Linked DNA regions of Alligator mississippiensis. The protein of the gene in region 2 purifies or fractionates together with the protein of the main gene of each other region. This does not show direct contact. Links are inferred from orthologs where the notes say so. Each region holds a gene or a part of one and is shown on either strand. Other genes may lie near its edges.

Region 1 (9,420 bases), on a different chromosome or scaffold from region 2:
CCTCCTCCTCTTCCTCCTCTTCTTCTTCCTCCTCCTCCTCCTCCTCATCGTCCTCCTCTTCCTCCTCCTCCTCCTCATCTTCCTCAGTGGCTGCCTTGACAGATGGTCGGGCTGCACCCCGCCGACCCCTGGGGGGCACCTCTCGCTCATCCCGGCCCCCGGCCTGGGCACTCTCCGGGAGCTTAGCAGCGCGGGCCTGTGAGTGAGCGAGAGAGAGAGAGATTGGAGCTCCAGCCAGGGCCTGCCCTCTTGCCTGTGTCCTCCCATCTCCCATGTTAACCCTCTGCCTTGCTCCCACAGGCATCATGCCCCCCACTCGAACACCCTGGGATGGAGCACTCACCTGCTTCACCCGGGTGGAGCGACGCTCCTGGCGCCTGGCCCCGTCCTCGTCAGAGTCTTCCCTCTCGTGGGAAATGGAACAGGCTTTACCTGCAGGAGTGAAACACAAGGGAGCTGTAAAGATGGGACTACCCGGGTTCTAAGCCACACAACATCCCAAAGGTTCTAGGCCCTACAACAGGCCCTCTAAGTTCTAACCCCCAAATGGGCATCCTCTAACCCTCCGCACAACAGGCACCCCCTGCCTTCTAGACCCCATCCCAGGACCCCCCCTTCCCTCAGCAACAGGCACCTTGGGTTCTAGGAGACATCCCCCAGCAACAGACACCTGAGTTCTAGACTCTCCAGCAACAGGCACCCTTGGTTTCTAGCCTCCCCAAACCAGGCACCCCCAAGACCTAGACACCCCAGAACAAGTGCCTCTAGGTTCTAGATCTCCCAACAGTCCCTCTGGATTCTAGACCCTGTGCAACAAGCACACCCTGGCCTGCAGACCTCACCCTACAATACCCCCTGGGTTCCAGATACCCCCCACAACAGCCCCCTTGGGCTGTAGGGCACACAGGAGACATCCTCTGAGTTCTAGACCCCCCCCAGAACAGGGCTCACCCAGGGTCCTAGACTCTGCAATGGGGAGCCCTGGGTTCTAGACCCAGCACTCAGAGCATAAAAAGGTACAAGAATCAGGATCCAACTTCCCTGTTCCTCCCCGCTTCAATTTGGAGTATCTGCACCTCTGCAGACCCCATATTTCATTCTGAACCAAGAGAGAAGGTGCAATGTGCAGCCTCTAGAAGGACATAGCTTACTGCAGAACAACTCCTCTCCATGGCTACATGGTATAGAACCTACATTCTAGGACAGACAGCCCCTTTTTCTGCGCTAGTGGCCCCCACATGGCCCCTAAATCATCTAGCCAAAGGAAATGTCTGCTTTGCTGATGTTAGTGCAAAGGATCGTGGGAGTGGGGAAGGCCGCTGCAAAACCAGCTGACAGAGCTAGAAGTCTGGATCTAAACTGACCCCTGCATGAAGCTGCCCATGTTCTAGCTCAGCAGTGCTCACGTGTCAGCAGGGAAGCCAGGCTGGGGTTAAGTAATGCCCACACCACCACACAATTTCTGGACCCACAGGGAACCCAGCAGGTCGCATGTTGTGGCTCCTCGAACCACTAATCTGGCCCAGGGAGTTGGACAGGTTGAACCCTGCCATTCAAGATCAGCAAAGAACACATGATGGTCTAGAACAGGGATGCTCAACTTCCAGCCCACAATGCCATGTCATCTGGCTTGCAGGGCCTAGAAATTTGGCATTGGGGGAGTGGTGGTGTGCAGAGCTGGACAAGGGCAGCACCAGGTCCTAGGGCCCCAGCGCTGGCAGGCAAAAACCAAAGAGGGACAGCACTGGGCCCCGGGGACTCAAAATCAGGGTGGGAGAGGGCTGATACCAGCTCCCTGGGGACCCAATCCCAGTGAATGGGGGGGTAGAAGGGAGCACTGCTGGGTGCCACAACTGGGTGATGGGGGGCAAGAGAATGCCGAGTTCCCCAGGACTCAATACCAGTACACGGGGGAAGGAAAAGTGGGGTGGTACCTGGACCCCAGGACCCAATGCTGGTATTTGGGGGACAGGATAGAGCAGTACCAGTCCCTGGAACACAATCCAGGACGCAGGGGGGCGGTGCTAGTCCCCTGAGACCCAATCCTAGTGCATGGGGAGCACGGAGGGGCTGTGCCAGGCCCTAAGGCCCAATCTGGCCCACAGAGCCCAAAGGTTGAGCCCCCCCCCCAGCTCTAGAACTACAGCACAGGTCCTGCTTCAGAGCTAAAGAGCACCACATGTTCTAGGTATCTCAACCCAGGACCTCAACTGCCAGACAGGTTTCCATGTGTCCCAAGGCTCCAGACTCTGCTGCTGAGTTCCAAGTCATGCAAAGCTCCTCAGAGCAAATCCCACAGCATGGTTTTTAGACTGTTCATCCTCCCCTAGACAAGCCAACCCTTCCTCTTTCTGGATCCCTCCCCTCTAAACGTCCTTCCAGGACCCATGACTGGGCTGCTACTTGACCTAAAGCCATGCCAGCCCCTTCCTCCTAGTCTAGGTGGCAACATCCACATCAGTGACTAGAAAAACAAGGCTGGGAAGGGTCCAATGATAAAACCAGATACCCAATGAATAGGTTTGGTGCCCAATCAATCACAGGGCCCTGCTTTCCCTGCTGCCCTCTGGCACTAACTATAAAGAAACGAATATTCCCGCTGGTTAGGGCTTGGAGAGATTCCAGCCAAAAGAAAATCTCTGTTTGTTTGGGAAGGGAGGAATGGAAACAATGGGGGAGGGGCTCTTTTGAGTCAATCATAAGAACCTATTTCTCCTGCAGTCAGGCCCCGAAGAAGCCCAATGCCCACTGGCTGAGCAGACATGTGAGCCCCAGCCAATTGGAAGTACCCATTCCTCCACCCCACAGCTAGGCTCTGCCCCAGCCCCACACTCACCCTCCAGCTCAGCTGCCTCCCTTGCCTCTCGTTCCAGCCGCTGCTGTAGCAGCTCCTGCTGCTTCTCCAGGTATTGCTTGATGAAACTGTTCTGGCTCATCTCCTCACCAATCTGCAGGGGGATGGGATGGGACAGGACGCGTGAGCAAGGCCGGACACCTGAGTTTCCCCCCCTCGGCTGGGGTCCCTGGCGGTTCGAGAGGCTGGGGGTGAGGGGGCCTCTCACCTGCGAGTTGGGCTGGAAGGTGGTGTGTGGTGTTGAATGCTTCTGGAGGTTCTCGAGCATCAGTGCCTGGGGCAGGGAAAGGGCAGGGTCAGAGATGTGCCCCCAAGATGGTCCCTGTGCCTTCTCCCCCTCCCCCGGTGCCCATCATTGGATTGCTCACATATGCCATCCAGGCTGCCCTGCATGACCTGAGCTGATCCACCCCCAAGTCTAGCACCCAATGCAATGCAGCCGTGTCCACCCAAACCTCCACAATCCAACACACCCCCAGTATCTACCCCAACCCATGATCCGACTCACCCAGGATCCCGGCCCCAATACTCCAGGCTCTGACCTGCCCCCAAACCCATCCGTATCCAATACTTGCCCCGACACACGTCACCACCCACGCTGACCCTCAGGCCACAGAACACGAAGCATGTAAATCCATCTCTACACCTTTCCCCCATGTCTCAATCCAGCTGACCATATCTGCCCTGACTCGCCCTTCATGACTCAATCCAACCCACAGCTTGCAGCCATCCCGACCCCCCTCATCCAACCCACCCCAACCCCCCGATCCAACAAAGTGCCCCAAGGCAACCCCAAACCCCTCCTTCCCCAATCCAATCCAGCCTCAAGACAACCCCAACCCTCCCACCAATCCAACCCATACCCCAGGTTCACTCACCCTTCCCCATCCATTCCTCCCCACAGAAGCAATGACCCATTCCCCCATCCAGCCTAGTCCACCCACAACCAGGTGCATGACCACAGATCCACTGTGCCCCAGATAACTCCCCCACTGGGCCTACCTCCACCACCAAGCAGCCCTAACATCTTCCTCCCCCCTGCCCTCATCTGACCCCCTGCTCCTGCCCAGCCCCAGCCAATGCCCAAGCCCCTGCCACCCAGAACCCCGTCAGCTGGATGCCAGAGCCTGCTGCCCCCCACGCTCAACTCCAGCTCTTCCTGTTGCCCAGCTGAAGCCCTTGGACATTGCAGCCCTGTGTTCTACCAACCACGCGCCTGTGGGCCCTGGCCTGGCACCTTCCAGCCCTCCATGGGGGTCTGGCCATACCAACTGGGGGAGCCAGGTCCCCAAACCAATACCCCTTACAGGACCCCTAGCCCCACATAGCCCCTCCAAGCCTCCTTAGACCCTCCAGGCCCAGCCCCTGAACTTATGTACCCCCTCCAGGCCCCCCTGACACCTTCAGCCTCCTCCCCATGGACCCCCCCTAGACCCTTTAGGCCTAGGGTGGCCATCGTAAAGGACATTCCAGTTTCCTGCTACTCTGTCCTCTATTGATACAAAACCCTATGCGCCTTTATATCCTCTATTTTTCTCTTCAATAGAGGACATCCAGACTGCCTTCTATGATGTCCACCCAGTCCCCCAAGTCTGCAGGCAACTCCCATGGGCACCTTCAGCACCCCTGCCCACACAGACCCCCAAAGTCCCAGCCCCTCACAGACTTCCCCAGACCAGCCAGGCGCAAACCCCCAACTCTGTACAAACTCCTGCAGCCTCCACAACCCTCTCCAGTCCTACAGACCTCCCCGGCTGCAGCCCCCACCCCCGGGACCATTCAGGCCACCCAGCCCTGCAACTCTGCAAGAAATGCCCAGCCCGATAGACACCTGCAGCCCCGCCAGCCCCCCGCCACTGCAACACCCCTAGACCCCTGCAGCCTTTTCCAGCCCCCCATGCATTCTACAGGCTACAGCCCCCAACTCTATAAACCCACCAGTCCCCAGCAACACTTTTAGTACCCCACGGCCCCTAGGCCCCACAGGGCCCGGCCTATCCCCCCAGCCCTGCGAGCCCCGCGCATGCGCACTCGGCCCCACGCCCTCCCACCCCTGGACCCCCTCATTCTCGGGGGGAGCCCCGCGCCCCGCCGCGCATGCGCACTTGCCCCCGCCCGCCGCGCCCGGGCCCCCCACTCCAGCCGGTTGGGGGGGAGGGCTCCCCGGGCGCATGCGCGCTGCACCCCGTGCCGCCTCGCGCCGCCGCCGCCTCACCCCGCGCAGCCGCTTGACCAGCGCGCTCTTCTGGCCGCTCTTGGCCAGACCGCGCTGCTCCAGAGCCGCCTTGAGGTCTGCGACACGCAGCATGTGGAGCGGCCTCCCGTCCAGAGTCACCTCCTCCCCGTCCGCCATCTTGTGTGGCGCCGCTGCCTTCCCTCCGCCCGCTCCGGCGGCTTCCGGACCCGCTCGGCACCTTCCGCACTAGCCTCGGCACCTTCCGGACGCGCCTCGGGCCGCGCTCGGCTCACCGCTACCCGGTCTCGGCCCTTTCCGGCGTTCCTCGGCTGTCTCCGCCCACCCGGAAGTGCCCGCGTCGGATGTTTCCGCCCGCGCCTCGGCTCCTCGGGGGTTTCCGTGCTCCGCTCGGCCCCGCACACCCGGAAGTGAGCTTCGGCAGTTTCCGGGGGCGACTCAGGGAAAAGGGAAAAGGGGGGGCGGAAGGAGCTCGGGCCAACCCGGAAGTGAGGGCCAAAAGCGCTCGGCTACTTCCGTCAGTGCTCGAGCAGCTTCGGGCCCTGCCGGAACGCGCCCATTGGTTCCCTTGGTGTGATTTCTTCGGGCATTTCCGGACGAGCTCGGGCCTGTCCGAAGCCAAGAGGGAGACCCCCCCTACTTAGTAGAGCAGACCGGAAGTTGGCCGTTTCCATGGGACCAGCAAGAAGTTGCTGCCTTGTGTATGTAGGGCCTACAGGAAGTTCCCGGGTCCCCTCTTTCCATGGGGCCAGCAGGAAGTTGCCCCCTTGTTTGTGTAGGGCCTACAGGAAGTTCCCCATTTACATGCAGCCAACAGGAAGCTGGGTGCTTGGGCAGCCAGAAGAGCCCACTCAGTGCCACACACACACACATTACCCCCCACGTCGCAAGATGGGGCCCCCCGTTTTCATCAAAGCCTCTTCTGTTGAAGTAGCGCCTACAGGAAGTTGGCATGTTGCCGCCCGCCTTAGGAAGTTGGGAGCTTGGGGAACCAATAGACCAGTAAGAAACCCCTGCTCTGCCCTTGGGGCCCAAGTGGTGTCCTCATTCCATCAAAGCCAGTTGTGTTTGCAGGGGTGCTGTCTGTTGACATAGGGCCTGCAGGAAGTTGGCCTGTTTGGGGCCAAGTGTGGGTTGGCAGCTTAGGGGATCAATAGGAGTCCCCACCCTGGGTCTCAGAGCCTGGGGTTGTCCAAAGCCACTTGCATTTACATAGATTCTACAGGAAGTCACTTTACTGATATGGGACCTGTAGGAAGGGGCCTGTTTCTCTAGACCTGACAAGCTGACAATCAGGGCAACCAAGAGCCCAGTAACACCCCTGCTGGATCTTCAGCAGAGTCCTGGCTTCCCCAGAACCACTCCTGTGTACATAGGGCCTGTAGGAAGTTGCCCTTCATTTATGTAGGGCTTACCTTAATTCACCAGCCATGAGGCGCCAGTGGGGCCGGGTCCTAAGGGATCTCCACCCTCCTCCTTGGGATCTCCTTGATTCCACCCGAGCCCCCTGTTTACCTAAGACCTACAGGAAGTGACTGAGCACTGAGTGGAGTGCATGGCCTCACCCCCACTTTGGGTATCCCCTGCGAAAGAAGGACCCCAGTTAGGGACTCCAGAGTCCAAAGAGAGGAGGGAAAGAGGAGCAGGAATACATTGGCTTGATTAGGAATGACAAAGGGCCATGAATGGGTGCACAGCACCCCCGTGTGGTCTTTTCTCAAGGCTGCAATGGGAGGAGATGCCGGGCACCTGGGCTCTCGCTTCAGGTAGGGGAGTGGACTGGAATCAGTCTGTGTTTGTGTGCGTGGTGGGGGTCGGGGGTGCTGGGACGCCTGGGTTCTTTCTCCCAGGTCTGGGAAAGGAGGGAGGCCTGCTGGCTTGGAGTGGGGGATGGGAGCAGAGCTAGCGCTCCTGGGTTCTCTCCTAGCTCTATCCAAACCCAGGACTTGGAGGGGGGGCAGGGTAAGACAGAGACACCATGAACCCCAGGGGCTCCCCCTCCCCCAGCAGCTGTCCCTTCTGGCTGGGGGTGGGTCCCTGTCCCACTAGAGACTGCATGGGGGAGGGGCAGTCAGCCTTCCTCCCCCCCTGCATGTGAGGTCTCAGGATGTGGGGACCCCCACTATTGAGCCCAGCTTGGGGGACACCAGCCATGGGTGGGGGGCTGGGTGTGGGGCCTATTTAGATATAGGGCCGGGGTGGTCCTCAGGCCAGCAGACCATGGGGAGGCAGGGGCCCAGTAGTGCCCATGCCCAGGGCTTGGGGGTGAGGGGGATTTCGCAAGCGCTTGGGGGGGCCCCGGTTACGCCATGGCCCCGGGGTAACGGCCTGTTTCTCAAGAGTCCGTAATCAGCTCCACTCACCTTGAGCTGCTTCCTGCCCCAGGGGGGGGCGTGGTTTGGGGGGAGGGGATGCCCTGGGGGGGAGGGGGCAGCTTGGAGCCCTGGGGGTAGAGAGGCGGGAGGGGGGCAAATATGGAGCTCCCCAGCTAGGGGTGCCCCAGCCTCCCTCCTTCCCCCACACACCTTCCCCCACTACCCTCCCCCGCACCGGGCCGGAGGTTGGGACACCGACCACGGGAAACCATCCGGCCTTACACAACCCCCTGGTTTTGGGAGGGAGGGTAGGGTGCACTGAACCCAGGCATCTGTGACAGCTCTCTCACAGCACACAACCCAGCTTCTGCAGGACCCAGGAGTCTGGGTCTGGTCTCACACTCCAGGGAGGGAACCCTGCTGTCTGAGATACAATTGTTCCAAAGGAAAGAATAGGACCCAGGCATCCGGGCCAGGGTTGGTCACTAGCGCCAAGTCTGGGGGGCCGTGGCTGAGCATACAGGACCCACTCTGCAGTGATGCCCCATCACAACAGCAAGCAACAGGGATATCCTTGCATGAGGAACAATAGCGAGCAGACAATAGTGAACACGACAGAGGCACTATGCTCAGAAAGCAGTCGTGTCCTGAAAGCACAAGTGAGCAGCATGCAACAGGCATGAGTGCAGAGCGAGCGTGCCATGGAGCCATGGTGAACAAGAGTGAATAGGGCAGGGCAATTGTGAGCACAGAACAAACCATGAGGAAGCTGCAGATGCATGCATCACAACAGTCATGAGCGCAGGAGAGGACCAGCACCAACAGTTTTCATTATGGGATAATGATACAACACAACCGTCGTGAATAGTGAGGTGTTCAGAATAAGAGTACCACACCACAATAGAGAAAAGCAAATAGCTGGGGCATGATTATGGTCACAGACTAACCATGCCACACGCAAGTGAACAGTAGATAAGTGAGAGAGAACAATGGGGCCACTTGATAGTGAACAGCAAGTGCTGGGACACGGTAATAGCAATCAGAGAATAATAATGCCACCCCACCTATAGTGAACGATGGGGACAGGATGCTGGTCAATTAACAATGCCATAGCAGAGAAGCATGACACAACAGTGGTGCTCAGAGAATAACATAGCCACGTAATAGTGAACAGCAAAAGCTAGGGCATGTCAATGGCGATGACAGAACAAGATCACCACTCACCACCAGCGAAGAGTCCATGATTGTGACCACAGCAGAAAAGCGTGACCCCATGATGGCAACTGGATAATGGGGCCACCCACTAGTGAACAATGAGAGCTGGGACACGCCAACAGCAATGGGAGAATCACAGTGCCACACAAGAACACACGCCAAGTCACTGTTGTGCAGAATGGTTTCATCGTGGGATAATGGTGCAATGCAACAGTAGTAAACGGTGAAGAATGGATGCGGCCATGACGAGCCCAGAATAGCGATGGCAATAGTGAACAGGGGATCATTGCACAGTGGTGATCAGCGTCATACTGCCACGTGATAGTGAACGGGGAGTTGGTGACACCACGATGGCAATTGTGGCATAACTGTGCCATGCAATGGTGAACAGGCAGGAAGCAGAGGCAGGATGGCATCTTGGAGACTAACTGGCGCAGATCTTCATGAGCTTTCAAAGGCCACAGGAAGTGAACAGTGCATGGGTAATGACATCACAACAGTGATCCCAGTGTGAAGGAGTCCGGGACAGCAGAATCACAACAGTGACAGCAGCATGACAGCGCCACTCAGTAGTGACATCATGGGGAAGGTCACAGCAATGGTACCATACAAAAGTGAACAGGAAATGACATCACACCAGTGATTATAGCATGACAGTGCCAGGCAATAGCGAACAGGAAATGTGTGATGCAGTGGTGATCGCAGCACAGTCATGCCACTCCATCATAGGCAGGGAACTCGTGACACCTCAGCATTACCGTGCCACACAGTGGCGCACGGGGAATGACAACACAATGGTAGCCGCAGCTTGACAGTCCCATGTAATAGTGAGCAGGGAATCA
Region 2 (9,420 bases):
GAGACAGTACTACAGCAACAACACATTCTTTTGATTAGCAAGGGACGCAAGTGTTCCTGCTCAACCACACATCTCTCTCCCGCTCTTCCTTGCTAATGTAACAGTGACAGACAATGTATATGCTTTATATTAGCTTTTCCCCTCTCCATCTTTGTATTCAAAGGATTTCCTTTAAAATATATATTATATCGATTTAAGGGAATATAAAGAAAAACCAGCATGGACACTAGAAAAATGTTACAGCTAAAAGCAGGTAGGGCAAAATTTACAAAAGTTCTTTATTTAAAAACCCCAGAGCGTATAAAGGTGATCCCACTATTCAAAACACATTCTTATACCTACCGTTTGAAAACCTGCATCACAACCCATATTTACACCATAAACCTTAGTTTTATGTGCATAATACACAACATAAGTATATACATAAACATATATGAAGACCATATGCACCCACAGAACACAGCTACAACTGAGGAAAGTTAGTAACTGAAGTTGTATTTCCTATATCACAAAGTAAAACTCAGGAGAAAAATGTTTGAATATAAGCAAATCTAAATGTTTCCAAGAAACGGACTTTTTTCTAACAGGTTTCACAATGATAAAGTCTTGACTGTTTTCTGTTTCATACAGGAGCTCAAGAGTTATTTCAGACAAACAACGGTACAAAGTTTTCATAAAGAATTTTTAAAAATAGTGCAAACTATGGTTGAAACACTGTTGTCACCGCCTCAAGGAAACCATCGGTATTTAATGCAGCATCCCAGTGAAAGGACTCGTGGGGCAGTGGAGATGTCAAGACAACAAAGTGATCAGTTTCAAACCAGACAGCCTCTACCAGCCACAGTTTCAAGACACGGTAGCAACATGCTGCGGTAGACACCATGCCACAGTATCATAACCGAAACCCAAGGAAGCATTTCCTTGTTGTTTCAAGCTTCACTGCCTATTGCAAGTACTCTGGGGAAATGCCCGTTCCTGAAGAGTCCTTTCAAAGCAAACTGCCTACTCAAATGAGAAACAGAAAACTTTGCATCACACCTGGTCTTTTAACAAACAACCCAGTCAAGTCCTCTGCTACGAGATTAGTGTAAGCGTACGATTCAACAAATCGTATCAAGTAACTGGACAGGTGACAAAGCATACCACTTTTTTCTACCCAGGATTCCAGTCAAGTGGTGATTTCAAATGGGTTGCTGACAAACAAATTTGTAAGAATAGCCAAAAAAAATTGCTATTTTGTTCTGCGGTTTATCATTGTAGGACCTTATTTTACAATCTGTTAAATAACTTCAACTCCAAGGCTTTCACTTGCAGGTGCCCGCCTTCTTCGTTAGAGATAATCAGCTTAAAACAAAGGCGGATTTCCGGATAAGCTTAACAAGGTTCTTAATGACAGAATACAAGTCGGTCAGGAGTTCCCCAAAACAAACTAAAACAAGAACTGATGAGCAACAAAGGAAAGACTTTAAGGCAATAAGCAGCATCAGTGCTATGATGCTCCAACATTCGTTACCAGTTTCAAGTTCTACTGCAAAAAAAGACTTTTGGAATCTCTTCCAGATCCGTTAACTGTTGTCAGACTTCTCCTCTTCCTCCACTTCCTCCTCCTTCGCGTCTGCCTCGGATTTATCTGAAGATTCGTGGAGAAGAACGTATTCCCTGCTGCTGAACCCAAACTTCAGCACGTCCTTCTCCTTCAGTTCGTAGTAACGCTGAGGTTCAATCCGTTGGTTATTTAAGAAAGTACCATTGCCGGAGCCAAGATCTATGATATAAGGCCTTACTCTGCGGCCAACTGTACCATCAGCCCGCGTATACTCCACAAGCCTGGCAAAAACAAAAAAGACACCTCTTTACCTACAATCCTGAAATGCATCCTGCCCTCTTCATGCACTCATTTGGCCAACTGTTGCTAAAAAGCTCCCTGACCCCAGTGCTACTCCTTGCCTGGGCGGGGGGCTCCAGGCCAATCTTGGAAGTGCCATCTGGAAGCATGCTTTGCCCACTTGCACCAACCCTCAAAATGCAGCATCGTCACCATCTTAGAAGAGCTCTGAGTGCCAACCAATGAGCGTGCCCCAGACCAGTACTGGGGCACAGGCTGTGGGCTCCTCTAACATGGCAACATTGGATCACTTCCAAGATGTGGCTAATCCAGAGGCAGCACGAGTAGGTGAGGCATGTTTCTTGTATCATGATTTCCCCAAACACAGCACGGAAGCAGTGTAGACACGCTCCAGCTACTGCACCAGCTCACCTGCACGCCCGATTTACAACCTGCCTTACTTAAAGGTTGCTTATGGTTAGATGCGAGGAAAGACATGACTGCTGCTTAAAATGGCACACACTATTTGGTACTAGCATTCAGCTATTGCTGATATAGGAGGCATCATTTACAGCTTTGCTTGGATGAAAAGGATCTTGAACACAACTGCTTTCACTTTTAGCCCCCAGCATAAACCTTCCCCCCAGACGGGTGCAGTGAATACATACCGATACTGAAACACAGCATGCTGCTTGGAGCAAGATGGATGGTCGATGGGGATATCGGCAATTCTTCGGTGCCGGCCCAGGAGGTAAGCGCTCTGCCTGTGAATGTACATGACTGGGAGCACCTCGTCATTCTTAAAGGGGTAGAGACGCCATCGTTTCTTTGGAATCCGAGCTTCTGGGGGCTCGCTGTATTTAATCACGACGCCGCGGAAAGTGTTTGAATCCTCTAGAAGTGCGCCAGACAGTTCAAAGCTTGGTTTCTCTTTGTTTGCTGGCTCTTTGTCTTTAGTTTTACTGTCTGATCTGCCAAGTTCAGGGTTGCCAAGTTCAGGGTTGCTCGCTTCGTTCTTTTGTCGATTTTCACGTCTTCTCTCATCGTTAAATTCCCTCTCTGCTTGCTGCTCACGGAGGTTCTGGGAATCCCTCTCTCTCTCGTGACCTCGACCTCCAGGCCTTTCACTGGAATTTTTCCTTCTGTCCGAATGGTCTCTGTGTCTGTCTCGCTCTCGTCTGTGTTCCTGTTCGGGCTGGTCTCTGTGCTTTCGTTCGTCGTGTCCTCTGCGGGAATGATCATCTCGCTCCTGGAACAAAAAGACATTAGAGTGACCTATTCAGAATTAAGGGAGAAAGAAAAGGCAGGGAATGTTGTTTAGTCTTTAGAAAAACAAATCACAATTTAATATGAGAAAACATACAGACTCAACACACGCTGTATACAGACTTTTGCTGAATTAAGTTTTGATAACATGACTGACTGAATGATCACTGAATAAATAATTGTGAACTCAAGTTTCAGAAATGAAACACAGGCAGAATTGGTTTTAAATGATTTTACTCTAAAATCAGAAGTTCCTTAATTCTTAGCTGTTCTGTCTTAGTGTAACTCAAAAATGATTCAGGTGCCATCATGTTAGGTGCTGCGTACGCAGAGGGCAAAAAGTATCGTTGGCCAGCACAGTTTGAAGTCTCACAATAAAGTACTAGATAACAAACAGCTCTGTCACTTCCACACATGGTAAAACACTAATTCAGCCAAATTTAACAAGTGTTACTCTACTGCTGATATGTACTAACACAACACTTAGAAACACTCTCAAATTTCCTTATTCCTTTTCCTTTCCACACTACAGACACTTGCAGAAATGACGACTCCTTCGGAGATCTTCTGGCTCATCGTCTTACTCCCCACCCAAAACTCAGTAGCACAAATTTTCCTACTATCCTAATACACCAACAACTTTGAGAGAATCTGTTCGTGAATCACCTCATTTCCCAATGCACCAAATCTTGGGTCCCACACAAATGCCACTGTTCTGCAATTCCAGTTTTAAATGATTAGTGATTTAATCAACAGGACAGGAGAGGGAAGGATCTCCTTTAGAAGAGCAAGCACATGCCTGTTTGGAAGCATCCTACTACTTTCTATTGCTGCCGAGAGGCCCCAATTCAACACGCTACACGCTGCGCTGTGCTGTACACCCCTCCCCCAGTGTCAACACTATTCTGGGGAACTGGACCAGCTTAAAGGGCGAGGCTGCATGAGTGACAGAGGCCAGATTAACAGGTAATCCCTGCAAGCGCTCAAACATTCGAGGCAGAGTTTGTGATGGAGCTGGCTGTACTTTTGCCCATTGCTGCAAGATAACTACACTCTAAACTTACGAACGATCAAACTATCACCTGACCCCCAGGTGTCTTTCCTGCCTGGTGCAGGGGACTGGACCCGATGGTCTGCCGAGGTCCCTCCGACTTTACAATCTATGAAAAAAACCGTGGTTATCAAGTAAGAAACTAGTCGCCCCACCTTCTTCAGATCCTGCTGCTACAAATTAACCCGCACACCTGCTCTGTATGGCTGCACAGGACCCCTGGGGTTTCAACAGGTTATAGCCAAAGTAACAAGCAGGATCAGGACCTCCCCGTTAAATATATTACCTGCTTTACTTTGACCACAACATGATGAGGGCTTCTGCTTCTTCGATTGCGAGGAGACTTGCTTCTTCGACTGGAGGATTTATTTTTTCTTTTGCCCGGTGATCTTAACAAAGCAGAACAAAACACGACACAACTGAGCTGTCTGGCCCACGTCACGCAGAGACAAAGTACGTTTGTGCAGCGGTTAAGCAGCGATTGAAGCTTGACCTAGTAAAATGGACGTTAACAAGCTGGAGGCTTCAGAGCAGAGGAGAGAGGCAGGTGGACGAGGCAAGCGCAGGACCACGAAGCTGCCGAGGCGGCCGCGAAAAAGGCGACCGTAAACGTCTCTCTCAAACGAGGCACTTTCAGTCGAAACGGAGATTTCACGCGACCACAAAGCCTCACCTGCCAGGCGGGGTCAAGCACTCCCGAAAAGCGCATCCGCACCGGGGCGCGGATGGGGACGGACTCGGGCAAACCCTGGGGGCTGGAAAGCTGCGGCACGTGTCGCCTGGCACGGCCACGGCCACGGCCACGAGGGGACGCGACGACGGCCTGCAATCCGCCGCGAGTGTCAACCTCAGAGGGAGGAAAAGCTGCCAACGCCAAGGAGCGACCTGGGCACCAGAGCGAACGGAGCGGGTACAGCTCGCCTGGGAGCCGGGACAGGGTTTGTAGCCGCCGGGAGATGCCGGCCCCCTCCCAGCGCTCCACTGACACCCCTCCCCGCCGACACCCCTCTCCACAATTAAACATTTTAAAGCACGACCGAGACCAGCGGCTCCTCGTCCGCGGCGCGGAGACCCCCGCCAGCCGTCACCGCCGACAGGTTTATTGTAACGCCTTGACGTGAGAGAGGCGCGCGGGGGGTGCTCGAGATGGGATCGTTTTAAACCGGTCGGAGTCGGGGAGACGTGGATCGGCACGGTGCCGCGCTGCTGATCGCTACGCGACGGGCGGACAGACGGCCGGCCGGCCGAGGAAGGAGGGCAGGGCTGTGTCCGGTCGGGAAAACACGGACGAGGCGACAGGAAGTGAAACACGTCCCGCGGCCCCGGTGTCCCGTCCCCCCAACCCCCCCGGCGTGGACCTGCTCTCGCGAAACACGCGGGAAACGCCTTTGCGGCCTCCGTAGCCACAGCTGCCTCTCCGGGGGGGGGGAGGGGTACCTGCTGGCCCTGTCGCGGCTGCGGGCGGCCTGGTGCGGGCCGCGCCCCTCGTCGGCCGGCGGGGACTGGCTGCCGCGGGCCGAGCGGGCGCGCCGGGGGCTCCGCGGCTCCTCCCGCCGCCGCTTCTTGCGGCCCCGCTCCAGCTCCGCCGCCTCCATGGCTGCGGCCGGGCCGGGCCTAGGCACCGCGCCGCATCCGGATGCTGCCTTCACACTTCCGCTTCCGGAGGTGAACGGCAGCAATGGCCCACTTCCGCTTCCAGGGATCCCCGCCGACCCGGAAGTGCTCCCGCTTGACCTACCCCTGCACGGCGCTTCCGGGGAGCCAGGCCCCGCCCCGCGGCCCTGCCTCAGGGCCCGCCCTCGCGCCGCCGGGGAGGGCAGAGGAGGGGAGGGCGCGTTCCCCCCCCCCCCCCCCGAGAACAGCGCCAGGTGTAGCACGTGCGGACAGGGCCGCATTGCGCATGCGCCCTCTCCTCCCTCTCAGCGTGCTGACGTCACGGCGCCGAGGCGTTGCGACGCGTCCCGGCTGGCGGGTGGGCGGGTTGCCATGGTGACCGTACACAGCGCCGGGGCCTGGGGCCGCCGCCATGATCCCCCCGCCCGACTCGCTCGTGCGCTACGAGACCCCCGCGCTCGTCACCCGCAACGCCGACAAGCGCTCCCCCAAGGTGGGCGTGCATGGGGGTGGGGGGAGCACAGGGGAGGGCTGGGGGGCAGAGGGAGGTCGGCGGGTCCAGGGGGTGAGTATGGGGGGGCAGGGGGGTGAGCACGAGGGGGAGGGGCGGTCTGGGTGTGCAGGGATTGAGCGTGGGGGGGGGGGGGTTGGGGGAGGTCGGGGGGGCCAGGCCCAGCCGGGGGCACGGTCGCAGCTCACGTCCCGTCCCGTGCGGCGGGGTCGGCAGGCGCGGGCGCTGAAGACGCTGTCGCAGCCGGCGGCGGTGCCAGGCCCGGTGCCGCCCCCGCCCAAGGCGCGGTCTCCGTGCGCGGCGGCGGAGCAGGCGAAGCAGCAGACGGAGGAGGTGCTGAACGCGATCCTGCCCCCGCGGTGAGGACGGCCCCGGGGGGAGGGGCGGGGGGGTCGCCGCCCCGCGCCCCGGCGCGTGACCCGGCTCGCGGCCAGTCGTTCCTGCGGCCCGGCCCGCGTCGGCCGCACGAAGCGTTTCTCGCCCGATCGCTCCTGTGATCTTTGCATCCGCGGCCCTTCTCCGGCCACTGCCCCGGGCAGCACACATCCCCGGGCGGACGCCACGGCCGTCTGAACAACCCCGAGGCGCTCGTGAAACGAGCACTTCCCATTTGCTCGGAGATCTGCTTGGTTAAATCCCCTGCAGAGGCAGGTCCCGAGCGGTCGCTGGTCGCGGCCAGCGCTCTTACAGCGACGGGGCTGTAAAGGCGGCGATGAATGTCTAATAATGAAATCCGTGCTGGTTTTGTGGTGCAGAGAATGGGTGGAAGACAATCAGCTCTGGATCCAGCAAGTGTCGTGTACACCCAGCACACGGATGGACGTGCTGCATCTGCAGGAAGAGCTGGACCTCAAGCTGCAGCAAAGACAGGCTCGAGAAACCGGGATCTGCCCCGTCCGCAGGGAGCTGTACTCGCAGTGCTTCGGTCAGTGAGCTCTCCCGATCCCTAGCAGCACGAGCCAAAGGCACATGGGACTGAGAGCAAAACACTGGAAGTGGCCGAGTAGACGAGCTCGGGGGAATGGCAAATGGAGATCTCCCAGTAATACTGTGGGCTGTGGTCCAGCCTCGGCCAGTTGGGAACAGAGGTTATTACCATCTACTGCGTGTAGGGGCACCTGTGGGTCTCGGGTCGGTCCCAGGCGCGCAGGTGTACTGCTAGAACAAGCAAGCTCTACAAGGACGTTACTGTGGCAGCAGGGCATCGGCAGGGTTTGTTTCAGATTCGCTTGGTAGCGAAAGACTTATTCAGACCCATCGCTCTGATGCTGCAGTAACTCACAGATGAATCCAGGCAGTTTGCTAAACGTTTCAGTGACACCGTGCTAGTCCTCTGCCTGCCACAGCCCAGCACGGGACACTGTGGGAAGGCACCAGCCATAGGGGTAGGGAGAGTGCCGATTGTTACCGATGATCTGTTCATTTTTTACCAGTAAGAAGCTTCAGGCCTAATCGCTGACCTCAGAAGCCTCCGTGTCGTTATAGTTCTTGTGGGAACTTTGGCAGGGGGCTGCTTCAGGCCCTTGTTTTTCCTGATGCCCACATCCGTTTCCCCCTCTCATCTTCACTTCCGCCCTTTTTTGCTTAAAGACGAACTTATCCGTGAAGTTACCATTAACTGCATAGAGCGGGGAATGTTGCTGCATCGGGTCCGAGATGAAATCCGAATGACCATTGCTGCCTACCAGACCCTGTACGAGAGCAGCGTTGCCTTTGGCATGAGAAAGGCGTTACAGGCTGAGCAAGGCAAAGCAGATATGGAGAAAAAGGTAATTGGGGCTGCTCGCTCCCGCGTGCTCCTTTCTGCACGGGGAGAAATGAGCTAACCTTTGTACCCGGTCTTTCAGGCTCGGTAGATCACATTCTGCCGTAGGTGTTAGAGCAGTCTGACAGGTGTTTTAAAACGGGCTCCCAAGGGAGGTGGTGCTCTCCCCTACCCTGGGGGTCTTCAAGAGGAGGTTAGACGAGTATCTAGCTGGGGTCATCTAGACCCAGCACTCTTTCCTGCCTATGCAGGGGGTCGGACTCGATGATCTGTTGAGGTCCCTTCTGACCCTAACATCTATGAATCTATGAATCCCCATTTCTTACATTTGAGTCACTTTCCCATTTCACAGATAAACGTGTTATTTCAATTTTCCACTCAATTCAGTTTTTTCTGGTTCCACTGGATGGCAGTAAAGCTCATCCAAACAAACCTTTTTCTCCCCCCCCCCGGCCTATTTATAATATAATATTTATATTGCCGCATAGAGTGTTAAACACACAGCTGTGTCTTAATTGTACTCCCAAAGTGTAACAATGAATGCAAGCAAGATCTGTGTTCATTTCAAAGATTGCAGAGTTGGAAGAGGAGAAGAGAGAGCTGGAAAGACAAGTGAATGAGCAAAAAGCTAAATGTGAAGCTGTTGAAAAACGTGAAATTGAAAGGCGGCAGGTAGAGGAGAAGAAGCATGGTGAGGAGGTCCAGTTCTTGAAACGAACCAATCAGCAGCTGAAGGTCAGTAAAGAGACCCCCACTCCCACCTGCAAGTGGTGGTGGGAAGATAGGGAGACACGGAAATATTGTTTGCGTCTTTGTTTCACTTTCTTATAAATAAAAAAAGCCCAAGTTCCAATTTAACTGACACTAACATTGTGCTTTCGCTGAACCCTCAAACCTCCCCGCGCTTCTGTAGGAGGAAGACGATCGCAATAGTAGCTCGAGTGAGCCCAGCCTTCTGGTGATCAGTTGGCTGAGTGGGGAACACATTAGGCCCAGCTGGGGCTGAGATGCAGAGACAGTTTAGGCTTACAGATCTTTAGGTGATCTTAGAGTTTGCACTTGAACACTGATAGTTCCTCAAGGACCAAGTTCCTGCATGCACCTGACTTGAGAGTTACCTTAGGTGGCTGTGAGCAGAAAATACCAAGTTGCTGAGAATGCACTGCTCCCTCAAAGCCGTTTAAAAACAGAACAGGATGTCCCACGAAGTCAAACCAGGACCACAGGGTGACTTTCTTTGCTATTGGTCTGACACCTTGACAGTTCTCTTTGCACCAAGAGACACGGTAAAGAGAACAGTTGCCAGAAGGATGAAACCCCTGTCTTTTGGCACAATAGAGCCTTTTCTTCCATCCTTATCCAAGACCTCACCCAAGTAACAGCAGGCA
Region 3 (9,420 bases), on a different chromosome or scaffold from region 2:
ACTTCCAACAACAAGGAATCGCTCACAATTTGAACAATTTTACTCCAGCTGTTTTGGCTACAAAGCTGTTCAAAGAAAACTTGCCAAGTACGTCTTACAATTGGAAAAGTTTCATTTCTGCGCACTCCTGGTTTAGCGACCTTCAGATCAAGTTTGTGCAATCACCTTTAAGCTGTCAATGTGACTATTCGCGTGCATCATCAGTCCTACCCACAAATATCTGCTAAACGAGGTTTTCAGATGCTGAGCAAACTTGATTCAGCTGTTTCTAAAATCAAGATGGGGCCAGAACTGTCTGCGGAATTAGTGCTCACACCTGGAAAAAATCATTAAAAAAACAAGGGCAGTTTAGTTTTAAGACATAACAAAAATAAAGAGTCAGTTCTTCAACCAGAACTGTTGTGATCAGTAATGTGTGTGCAACTTCTGAATTTCATGCTCTTTGAAATCTAAGCAAGTTTGGCATTACTGGCATTAGATGGGCACACGATCAGTCCTTACAGGTGTGTCTATACTGCAGAGCTGGCTAATTAGGGCCATGGTAAACATCGCACATCTACATGTGCAGTGCAGTTAGGCCTCAGCAGACTAATAAACTCTGCAGCAGGTTAGCACTTGTAAATACAAGTACTTTCCTGTCGCTGAGTTTTTTACTCAGCAGCACCACACGAGCCACGTGGCTCGGCAGCTGCAGGAGGCTCGTGGTGCAAGCAGCTCCTCCACCGACTGACGGATCCACCCAGAGCCCAGGGCTGACCCCAGAGCCTCTGCCAGCCCAGGGCTCACTGCAGAGCCAGCTACTCACCCAAGGCTTTGCCTTGGAGCACTGTGCCAGCCTGGGGTTGACCCTGGAGGCTGCCACCAGCCTGGGCCTCATCCCAGAGTCTGACCACTGCCACCCAGAGCCTGGGACTCCCTGTGGCTGCTGCAGAGGACAGAGCAGGAGCAAGAGCAGCCCTGACCTAAACTGCTCTGCCCTGGCTCAATTTGCTGCTGTCCTGGGTGCATGTGTAGACACTGCACCCGGAAGTAGTTTATGAAGGAGCAAATTTCTCTGCACATTGAGCCACATAAATTGCAAGTGTAGATGCATCCTATTTTAGCTAAAGAAGCACCTGCAGTAGCTTCTATCAAAGAAGGAAGAAGAATATTTCTGTGTTACTCGTGTACCTGTTTCATCATCTGTAAACACCGGCCTAAAAATGCATGCAGTTTTTTTTTTTTTTTCTTTATTTAATAACTTTTCCTCAACTGAGCTCAATATTTATCAGCTTCAGTCCTGGATATGATTATGAGAGCTCAGCTCTCAAAGCATCCAATCTTCTAATGTAGTTCTTTATTAAAATAATTGAGGCTTGAAATTAACTTTTAATTGCTTAGAATCTGGTGCCGCCCACATGCAAAGTGAGTAGCACATTTCCAAGCCTTTTATGGTCTGTTTGTTTGTTTGCCTTTAGCCAACAACTCAGGTTCTAACTGAACATTAAATATTGCAGGAAGGGGGAAGGAATTGGCACAGAAGTATTTCAACTATGGGGAAAAAAAAGAATAAGGACATGTTGTATTTAGTTATTTAGAAGGAGATCTGAATGTGCTGAGATCAAAGGGACAGAGAAATTACCTATGGTATACTGTGGTCTTCAAATCTATTAGGTTCCTCATTCTAGTCTATTCGTTTCTGAAGCACTGCAAAAGGCTGGTGCAGGCATATGGTAAGGGAATAGTCAGACCAAGGAAATGTATGCTGCTTGTAGGGCTGGTTAACAGCACGGCATTACACGCGTAGGACTCATCCAGACTGGGGCCCAGTGCAAACCCCCAATGTCAACGTGCTTCCCTGCTGCAAAGGAGCACTTATAATTGATTGCAGCAGTAGATGCTTTCATCTGACACTGGGGCAGAGCATCTAAATAGTATATTGCACCCACGCAGGTCTCACCCTCCCTATAGAGATGCGCATACACACAGTCATAGATACAGGCACGCTCATTCCCACAAGGGCTACATTTCTGTGTCGTCTTATTTTTTTTAAGAAATGGTATCATTGCTCATGTTTTAGCAAACACGCCGTGTTATGTTCAGCTTTGGAGCTGTGAACAGCATTGTGTTTTCGGTGCACAGATGGCGACGATTTGTAAAATCACTTATGCTTCCCTGCTGAGCAGTTACTAAAAAAGAACAAGGGCATCGAGCACCTTTATTTCTCACCGGGGTTGTGTTGTCCACCTGGCAACCGCAGCAGCCTGGTCTGCTGCGGGAAATGCTCCACCAAGCCCTCCCTTTAGGGCAGGAGAAAGCGTGTGTTTCATGACGCTGCACACGCGTGTCTGGTTCCCAGCGCTGCCGTTTCTCCTCTAGGGATCATCCCACTTCTCTCAGGCCCCGGATTTGCCGTCTCCGTTTCTTGGCACCACTGCAGGGCGGCAAAAGCCAGCAACGAATGGAGGGGTGCTTGCGGGGGTGCATGGGGGGTGTGCGTGTGTGTGTGTGTGTCTGATAGACATGGGGGTACTGCGTGTGTGTGACAGACATGGCGTGGGGGGACAGTGTGAGGGTGTGTGACAGACATTTCATAGGTTGCATAGACATTAGGGCTGGAAGGGACCTCGGAAGATCAGCGAGTCCAGGCCCCCGCCCAAAGGGCAGGACGTCAGCTGGGGTCATAGGATCCCAGCAAGATAAGCATCCAGTTTCATCTTGAAGGTGTTCAATGAAGGCGCTTGAACCACCTCCGGTGGCAGGCTGTTCCAGACCTTGGGGGCTCGGACAGTAAAGAAATTCTTCCTTATGTCCAGCCTGAAACGGTCTTGTAGTAGTTTGTGACCATTCGTCCTCGTCATCCCTTGGGGCGCTCTGGTGAACAAACCATCCCCCAGATACTGGTGGTCACCCCTGATAAACTTGTAGGTGGCCATCAGATCACCCCTGAGCCTGCGCTTTTCCAGGCTAAAGAGCCCCAGGGCTCTCAGCCTGTCGTCGTAGGGTCTGCTTCCCTGAGCTCTGATCATGCGCGTGGCTCTTCTCTGGACTCTCTCAAGCTTCTCCACATCCTTTTTGAATTGTGGAGCCCAAAACTGGACGCAGTACTCCAGCTGCGGCCTCACTAAGGCCGAGTACAGGGGGAGAATGACGTCCCGGGATTTGCTTGAGAAGCATCTATAGATGCAAGCCAGCGTTTTGGTCGCTTTACTAGCCGCAGCATCGCATTGCAGGCTCATGTTCATCTTGTGGTCAATGATGACCCCCAAGTCTCTTTCTTCCATAGTGCTAGCCAGCATAGCACTGCCGAGCCTATAAGGATGCTGCGGGTTTTTCTTCCCAAGATGGAGAACCTTGCATTTATCGGCGTTGAACACCATCAGATTCTTGTCCGCCCACTTGCTGAGCCTGTCCAGGTCAGCCTGGATCATCCACCTGTCTTCTGTGTGGATGCTTTGCCCAAAGTTTGGTGTCATCGGCGAACTTGGCCAGTCCGCTTCTGACTCCAGTGTCCACATCATTAATGAAGATGTTGAACAGTACGGGTCCAAGGACAGAGCCCTGGGGGACCCCACTGGTCACAGGACACCACGATGAGTGACTTCCAACAATGACATGGGACAGTGTGAGAGTGTTTGCATGTGTGTGCACATGTGTGTGGTAGACAGAGCATGAGGGAGAGTGTGTGTGTGTGTGTGTGTGTGTGTGTGTGATAGACACAGGGACAGTGTGTGTGAGATAAATATAGCATGGGGGACAGTGTGCATGTGTGTGTATGTGTGTTAGACATGGCATGGGGGACAGTGTGTGGGTGTGAAAATATGTGTGTGGTAGACAGAACATGGGGACAGTGTGTGTGTGCGTGATAGACATGGGGGACAGTGTGCTTACGTGTGCTAGGCATGGCATGGATGGTTTGGGTGTGGTGTGTTTGTGTGACACGGGACAGTGCGTGTGAGAAATATAGGATAGGGGAGTGTGTGTGTGTGTGTGTGTGTGTGTGTGTGCGTATGATAGACATGGTGTGAGGGACAGCGTGGGTATGTGCACATACGTGCAGTTGTGTGGAAGACAGCATGGGGGGACAGTGCGTGTGTGATAGAAATAGTGTGGGGCAGTGTGTGTGTGTGTGACACGGGGCTGTGGTAGTGCACACTGCGTGTGTAAGACATGGATGGGGTGCACATTGTGCGTGTGTGTGACACGGGGTGTGTGGTGGTCCACACTGTGTGTGTGTGTGTGTGTGTGTGTGTGTGTGTATGTGAGAGACACGACACAGCGTGTCCACACACGGTGGGAGCGCGGTGCACTCTGGGTGTGGACGACCCGTGATGACGCGCTGCCCCTCCCCCTCCCTCATTCCAATGCCACAGAACGGGGCGGGCGAAGCCGCGCGAGAAGTGCGCGTTCTCGCGGGATTACAGCGTGGACAGTCGCTCCCCCTCCCGGGCCTGGCGGCGCTGGGAGGTGAGCAGGGAGCGGGCAGCACTCTCCCCCCCGTGCGCATGCGCGGGCCCGTTCCGGTAGCGCGGGGGGAGCGGCCGCCCTTCATGGCGCTCGGCGGCGGCTCCGTTCCGGGCTGGGGGCGGGGGGGCGGGGAAGGGCAACAAAGCGCCGCGGCCGCCAGGTGAGGACCAGGAGCCTCCCCCCCTCCCCTCCCCGCGCAGGGAATGGGCCTCATCCCCTCCCCCCACGGGGGGGGGCAATGGGAGCCCGACCCAGCCACACCCCCTCGTGGGGCTGTGGGCCAATGGGAGCCCTCCACAGCGCCCCGCCCACCAATCAGGGGACAGCAGGCTGCTTGCCCCGCCCCCGGCTCCTGGGGTGGGGGTGGGGGCACTCCAGCTTGCATTGCCCCTGCTCGGGGTAGGAGGAGGGGAAGGGGGGGTGCATGTATGTCAGTGGGGGGGGGGGGCGCGTGTGTGTGTGTGTGTGTGTGTGTGTGTGTGTGTGAGTGGGAGGGCGTGCACACGCGTGTGTGGCTGGAAGCCCCGTGCTATAAGCCGTGTGCGGAACAGGGGGGCTGGGAGGAGGGCGCCTGGCTCACCCTTTCCCTGCTCTCTCCTGTGCCCAGGGCATGAGGCCGGGAGACGGGGGCTGCCATGGGCGTGCAGGACCGGCCCCAGTGCTTCTTCGACATCGAAATCAACCGGGAGCCAGGTAAAAGCGGGGGCATCCTCCCGCCCCTCTGCCCTGCCTGCGGGCAGACAGCTTGCCCTTCGAGAGGGGGAAGCACTGGCCTTTTGGCACCCGATCGAGCTGCGCAAGCCGTGTCGTTTTGCAGAGAGGTCGATCGGCGCGGGGCGGTTTGGAAGTAGCGGGGGGGTAATCCTGCCCCAGCCTGGGCTTGGATTAGATGTGGTCCCTGGAGGGCCCTTCCAGCCCTTCTCCCCGATTCTGTGATTTAATATGCCTTGAAGAGCAGCAGTCCTGGGTGGCTTCCTAAACGTGGTTTGGCTTGTGTCTCGTTCCGGCGCCTGCAAACCGCCCAAAAACGAAGAAAACTGGGGAGAAAATTACAGCCGTGCAGTTTATAAGCTCCTAAAGCGCATTTACTGCTCTCCTTAATGCGGGTCGTGGACGGACTAGGTGGCCTAATTGGTTTCTTTCATCCCTAGCTCTTGGTTTTCATCATCGTTGTTTCTGGCTCAGATCAAGTGTTAACCTGCCCTTCGTAGGTGATCTAAGTTTTCGTCCTAGCCTGGGGGTTTTGCGGGTATAGTCTTCATCCTATCTCTTCCCCGTCTGCTAAATGGTGGTATTTAATCTTTATGATAACAGCTCTTATAGGCATTGAAAACCACGCAATTTTAGCTATTAGTGCTTTCCTGTACACCCCTACCGAAATAATAAAAATTCTTGAGGCTTTCAGTTTGACTTTTCTGTGATTTCCTGAAAGCTTTTAACTTCAAAATAATGGCTTGGATCTGTTCCTCCAAGCCCCCCCCCCCCCCCTTTACTTCTATATGCAGGGGCTAATTGAGGATATGTGGGTTGCTCCCAATTTTTCCTGAAATCTTCTGGAGTAATCTCTGTATCTGCAGGAGATTGTTATAGTAAGCACAGTCAGCACCGCTCACCGAAAAAAGCACTGTTCTCTTTACTGTTGTACTGTTCCAAAAACAGGTGACGGTGCATTAAACAGAACTTCATTATTCCCGCAACTTCAAATTTGCTCTTGAAATTGAACGGGGAGCGTTTGTTTATAACATCATATTTAGGAATTAGGGGTACTGGGGTGCCAGTGTGTCTCCAGTTTTTTGTCTAGTGGGTTCATAACTAAGTGATACAGTTGCCATCCTAAAGTTTTTGCTTCTTCGTTCTTTGCTCTTCTTTTTGTTTCTCCAGTTCTGGAGTTGTTTATTGGATCACATTAGTTTTTGGTTTCTCTGTTCTTTTCCTGCTTTGTGTCTCTTCCTTCAGCCACATTTCTGCTTCCATTTTTATGTCCCTTGCTACCTTCCCTGCCCTTTCTTATAATCATTTGTTTTGCATCCACAGGAAGAAATAGAGTACCAAGCTGCCGCTTTCCATTCCTGGCTGGCTTCGGTTGGTAACGTTCTAAGAGCGCACAAAACCGTATCCAGCTTTGATATCACTTCATATTAGTGGTGCTGAGATGCAATACTTTTATATCCAGCCTTTCCGCTTAATGCAGAGCTTGGCTGTATAGAGCAGGGGTAGAGTTTTGGTCCTGTGCAGTGCTGACTTCATTGCTTCTCTAAAGTTGAATGAACCCCACAACTACACAGCAAGTTGAAACCTGGCCATATAGTTACTGAAACTGATTAATGATTTACAGTTTTGGGGGGAAAACCATGCTGACTTGCAAACATTAAGTTCAGGTCTTATAAAGATGTGGTTCTCTCCCTTGGTGTATAATTATCCTCCTGAGTTTGCCATAAAATTGTGCTTTGAATCCAAGCTTTCATTCGAAATAAATAAATAAAGTTAACTCTGGAGCCCTGTTGGTTGCAAAGATAACCTGCAAAGTCTGAGTCAAATATAAGCACTACAGCAATGTGTGCACACACTGATAAACAATGTGTACTATTCTTTCTGTGTTGGTAAGATATTAATTCAGCAATCTGATAAAAGCTTAAGTGTCAAAATAACTAGTGATTATACCAATTTTTAGTATTAATATAACGATAATGTGCTTTTTCATCATTGGGTTTAGGGAAGATGTTGGGGAGGGAAGCACTGATACATTTAGTTATCAAAGTTGCAGTAGTGGGTAAACAAACATCAGTTTTCTTCCTCCTATACTTATGGATTTTTAAAGTGACTTTCTCCCGGAAAATGGAGGAACTGGATATCGTCTGTAGCATCCAAAGCTTCATCTGTCTCCTGGATCTTAACATGCGTAGTTTGCTATAGCTTTGTGGTCCTGGTAGCTCCAAGATGTCTTCCACGTAACAACCAAAACAGACAGCCTTCCTTTTAACAGGCTTTACAGAGAAGTTATTCATTGCCACCACAGGTATCTGCAGCAATTCAACATATGGGAGCAGTGTAAAAGTGATTTTAGTGTTTAAAGTAGATAGAACATCTCCCAGGCCAGCCAGTATAGCATCTCTTGTAAAGGGGCAGACAGATTGGAGTGGACTCCCCTGCCACACATTTAGATCTATAGTACAAATAATACAAGGGGCAGGAGTTGTTAATAATAATAATAATAACAACAACAACTCTTTTAGCCATTATAGCTTAATTCAGGTAATTTAATACTGATCATCATAATTTCTATTTTACCAATAGGTTCTTGAATTAAACTTTTTATGGCTAGTATTTGCACTATGCTATAGATTGTATTCCATGGCTGTCCAGCTGGCTGCCTGTGGGTCGCACGTGGCCCATGACAGGTTAGCTATTGACGTGGCCCATCCAGCTATTGTTCCCCTCATTGCTTTGACTGCAGCTGGGGTCTGCAGATTCTTTCCCCCTCCTTTGGCTTCTGCTTCCTGCGCCTGCCCCAGGGGTGGTGCAACAGCTTGCAGCGCAGGGGCTCAGGATGCCTCTGCAGTGCAGCTGGGGAGCTTCTGTCTAGGTAGATGAGGGGTACGGTGCTGGAGTATGTGTGCAGCATGGTGCAGCTGGGGGGCACGTGTAAGAAGGGGCATCCATGCTATGAGGGAGCTGGGGAACCTGTGGCTCATGCTGGTATAGTCCACGTGGCATGCAGCTCCTAGCTGCTTACAAGTTGGACGGCCCTGTTGTTGTTTCTTTCAGCAAGCTTTGGAAACCAGTGTTTTTCACTGCAACTTGAAATTTTAATTACTGCCAGGAAGTTTGTTTTGTATTTCTTTGTCATCATGTTTGGTGTGTCACAAAACCAATTGCAGTATAAATTGAAAGTATACCAAGAACGAGCACTTTACTTCCTAGTTATGCTACTAAAATAAAATAATACAGCTTATTTGTTCTTGGTATTCTTTTTTACCTTTTTTTGTAAATCTAATGGGGAAAAATACTAAATTGTACAAAACATGAAGATAGACTAGTTTACAGGACTTGTTTACCCTGATAAATCTGGAAGGGTGGTATACATGCACTAAATATAATACTGTAATTTAAAAACCCAGAGGTCAGTTGTGTTTTAATGCCCTAGATATCTAAAGTCTCTTTATCCAGTCTCTTCATCCTCTGGAAAGCATATGTCATTTAACTGTCTCATTTGCTGTGTCCCATTCCTGCTTTTTCCCCTCATTTCAACTTATTTTTGTCATTCTTAGTCTTGCTTGTTCATTCTGATACTCATTCCAGTTTCCATTTTTTCTCTTCTCATTTATCCATCCTTCCATGTGGGCATCCCCAGTCAATCAGTTTTCACTTCTTGTTCAGTCCCTTTTTCTTTCTTCTAGCCTTATTACACCTGGTGTGTATGCTTTAGTATTTAGCCACTAGAGTCGTACATGCTGCCTTGGTGGAAGTAAGTGTTCACCATTGCAGATGCATTTGGGAAGTAATAGGAAGGGAATTATGCTCTGGGGTCTTCACTTGTCTTTCAGGGGGCAGATCAAATGACTATGAGAATTAATAGATGAGATGTCTGAGACTGCAGAGTAGAGAGCTGTGCTCACCAGCAGTCTGAGTGAAACCCTGCAGAGATTTGAAATAGAGTATATAAAGCAAATTAAGGTTAGTAACTCAAATGGAGACTTAAACAGAAATTGATGCTTGGAGAGGACAGAGTAGTATTTTCTTACATTTTCACATAACTTACTCATTTGCAGAAAAAATAATTTTCATAACCCTAGTCATCTTAAAGTACTACTGAATCTGGTCACGCTTGTGGGTAGCACTGAAGACCGCTGACTTTACTTAATAGAATAACCTAGAAAAAGAAAAGTAGGTGGTATTTTTTTAAATTTTATTTTAACTTTGTGATTTGGTTGATTTCTTTCCCCCTCTGCCTCCCATAATGTGTCAGACTTCCAG

Evidence for each region.
Region 1: the proteins of SNIP1 (region 2) and ACIN1 purify together in Homo sapiens (affinity purification with mass spectrometry; 3 studies listed by BioGRID and IntAct, counting the BioPlex papers as one, with this or other methods). This does not show direct contact. The link is inferred for Alligator mississippiensis from reciprocal best matches to the Homo sapiens genes SNIP1 and ACIN1.
Region 3: the proteins of SNIP1 (region 2) and NKTR purify together in Homo sapiens (affinity purification with mass spectrometry; 3 studies listed by BioGRID and IntAct, counting the BioPlex papers as one, with this or other methods). This does not show direct contact. The link is inferred for Alligator mississippiensis from reciprocal best matches to the Homo sapiens genes SNIP1 and NKTR.

What each region holds. Positions count from the first base shown.
Region 1 is NC_081830.1:7,375,532-7,384,951, forward strand, and holds the start of ACIN1 (apoptotic chromatin condensation inducer in the nucleus), read right to left. Parts: upstream 5,331-9,420; 5' UTR 5,208-5,330; coding exon 5,070-5,207; intron 3,549-5,069; exon of another isoform or gene 3,363-3,548; intron 3,129-3,362; coding exon 3,063-3,128; intron 2,949-3,062; coding exon 2,837-2,948; intron 433-2,836; coding exon 344-432; intron 197-343; coding exon 1-196.
Region 2 is NC_081829.1:910,464-919,883, forward strand, and holds the start of SNIP1 (smad nuclear-interacting protein 1), read right to left. Parts: upstream 5,864-9,420; 5' UTR 5,738-5,863; coding exon 5,580-5,737; intron 4,532-5,579; coding exon 4,429-4,531; intron 3,075-4,428; coding exon 2,494-3,074; intron 1,828-2,493; coding exon 1,566-1,827; 3' UTR 1-1,565. Other genes in the region: DNALI1 (axonemal dynein light intermediate polypeptide 1), read left to right, coding at 6,169-6,249, 6,484-6,626, 7,023-7,192, 7,858-8,036, 8,603-8,767. UniProt on the Homo sapiens protein: Required for pre-mRNA splicing as component of the spliceosome. As a component of the minor spliceosome, involved in the splicing of U12-type introns in pre-mRNAs. Down-regulates NF-kappa-B signaling by competing with RELA for CREBBP/EP300 binding.
Region 3 is NC_081828.1:213,339,912-213,349,331, forward strand, and holds the start of NKTR (NK-tumor recognition protein), read left to right. Parts: upstream 1-4,530; 5' UTR 4,531-4,606; intron 4,607-5,053; 5' UTR 5,054-5,081; coding exon 5,082-5,139; intron 5,140-9,420. UniProt on the Homo sapiens protein: PPIase that catalyzes the cis-trans isomerization of proline imidic peptide bonds in oligopeptides and may therefore assist protein folding. Component of a putative tumor-recognition complex involved in the function of NK cells.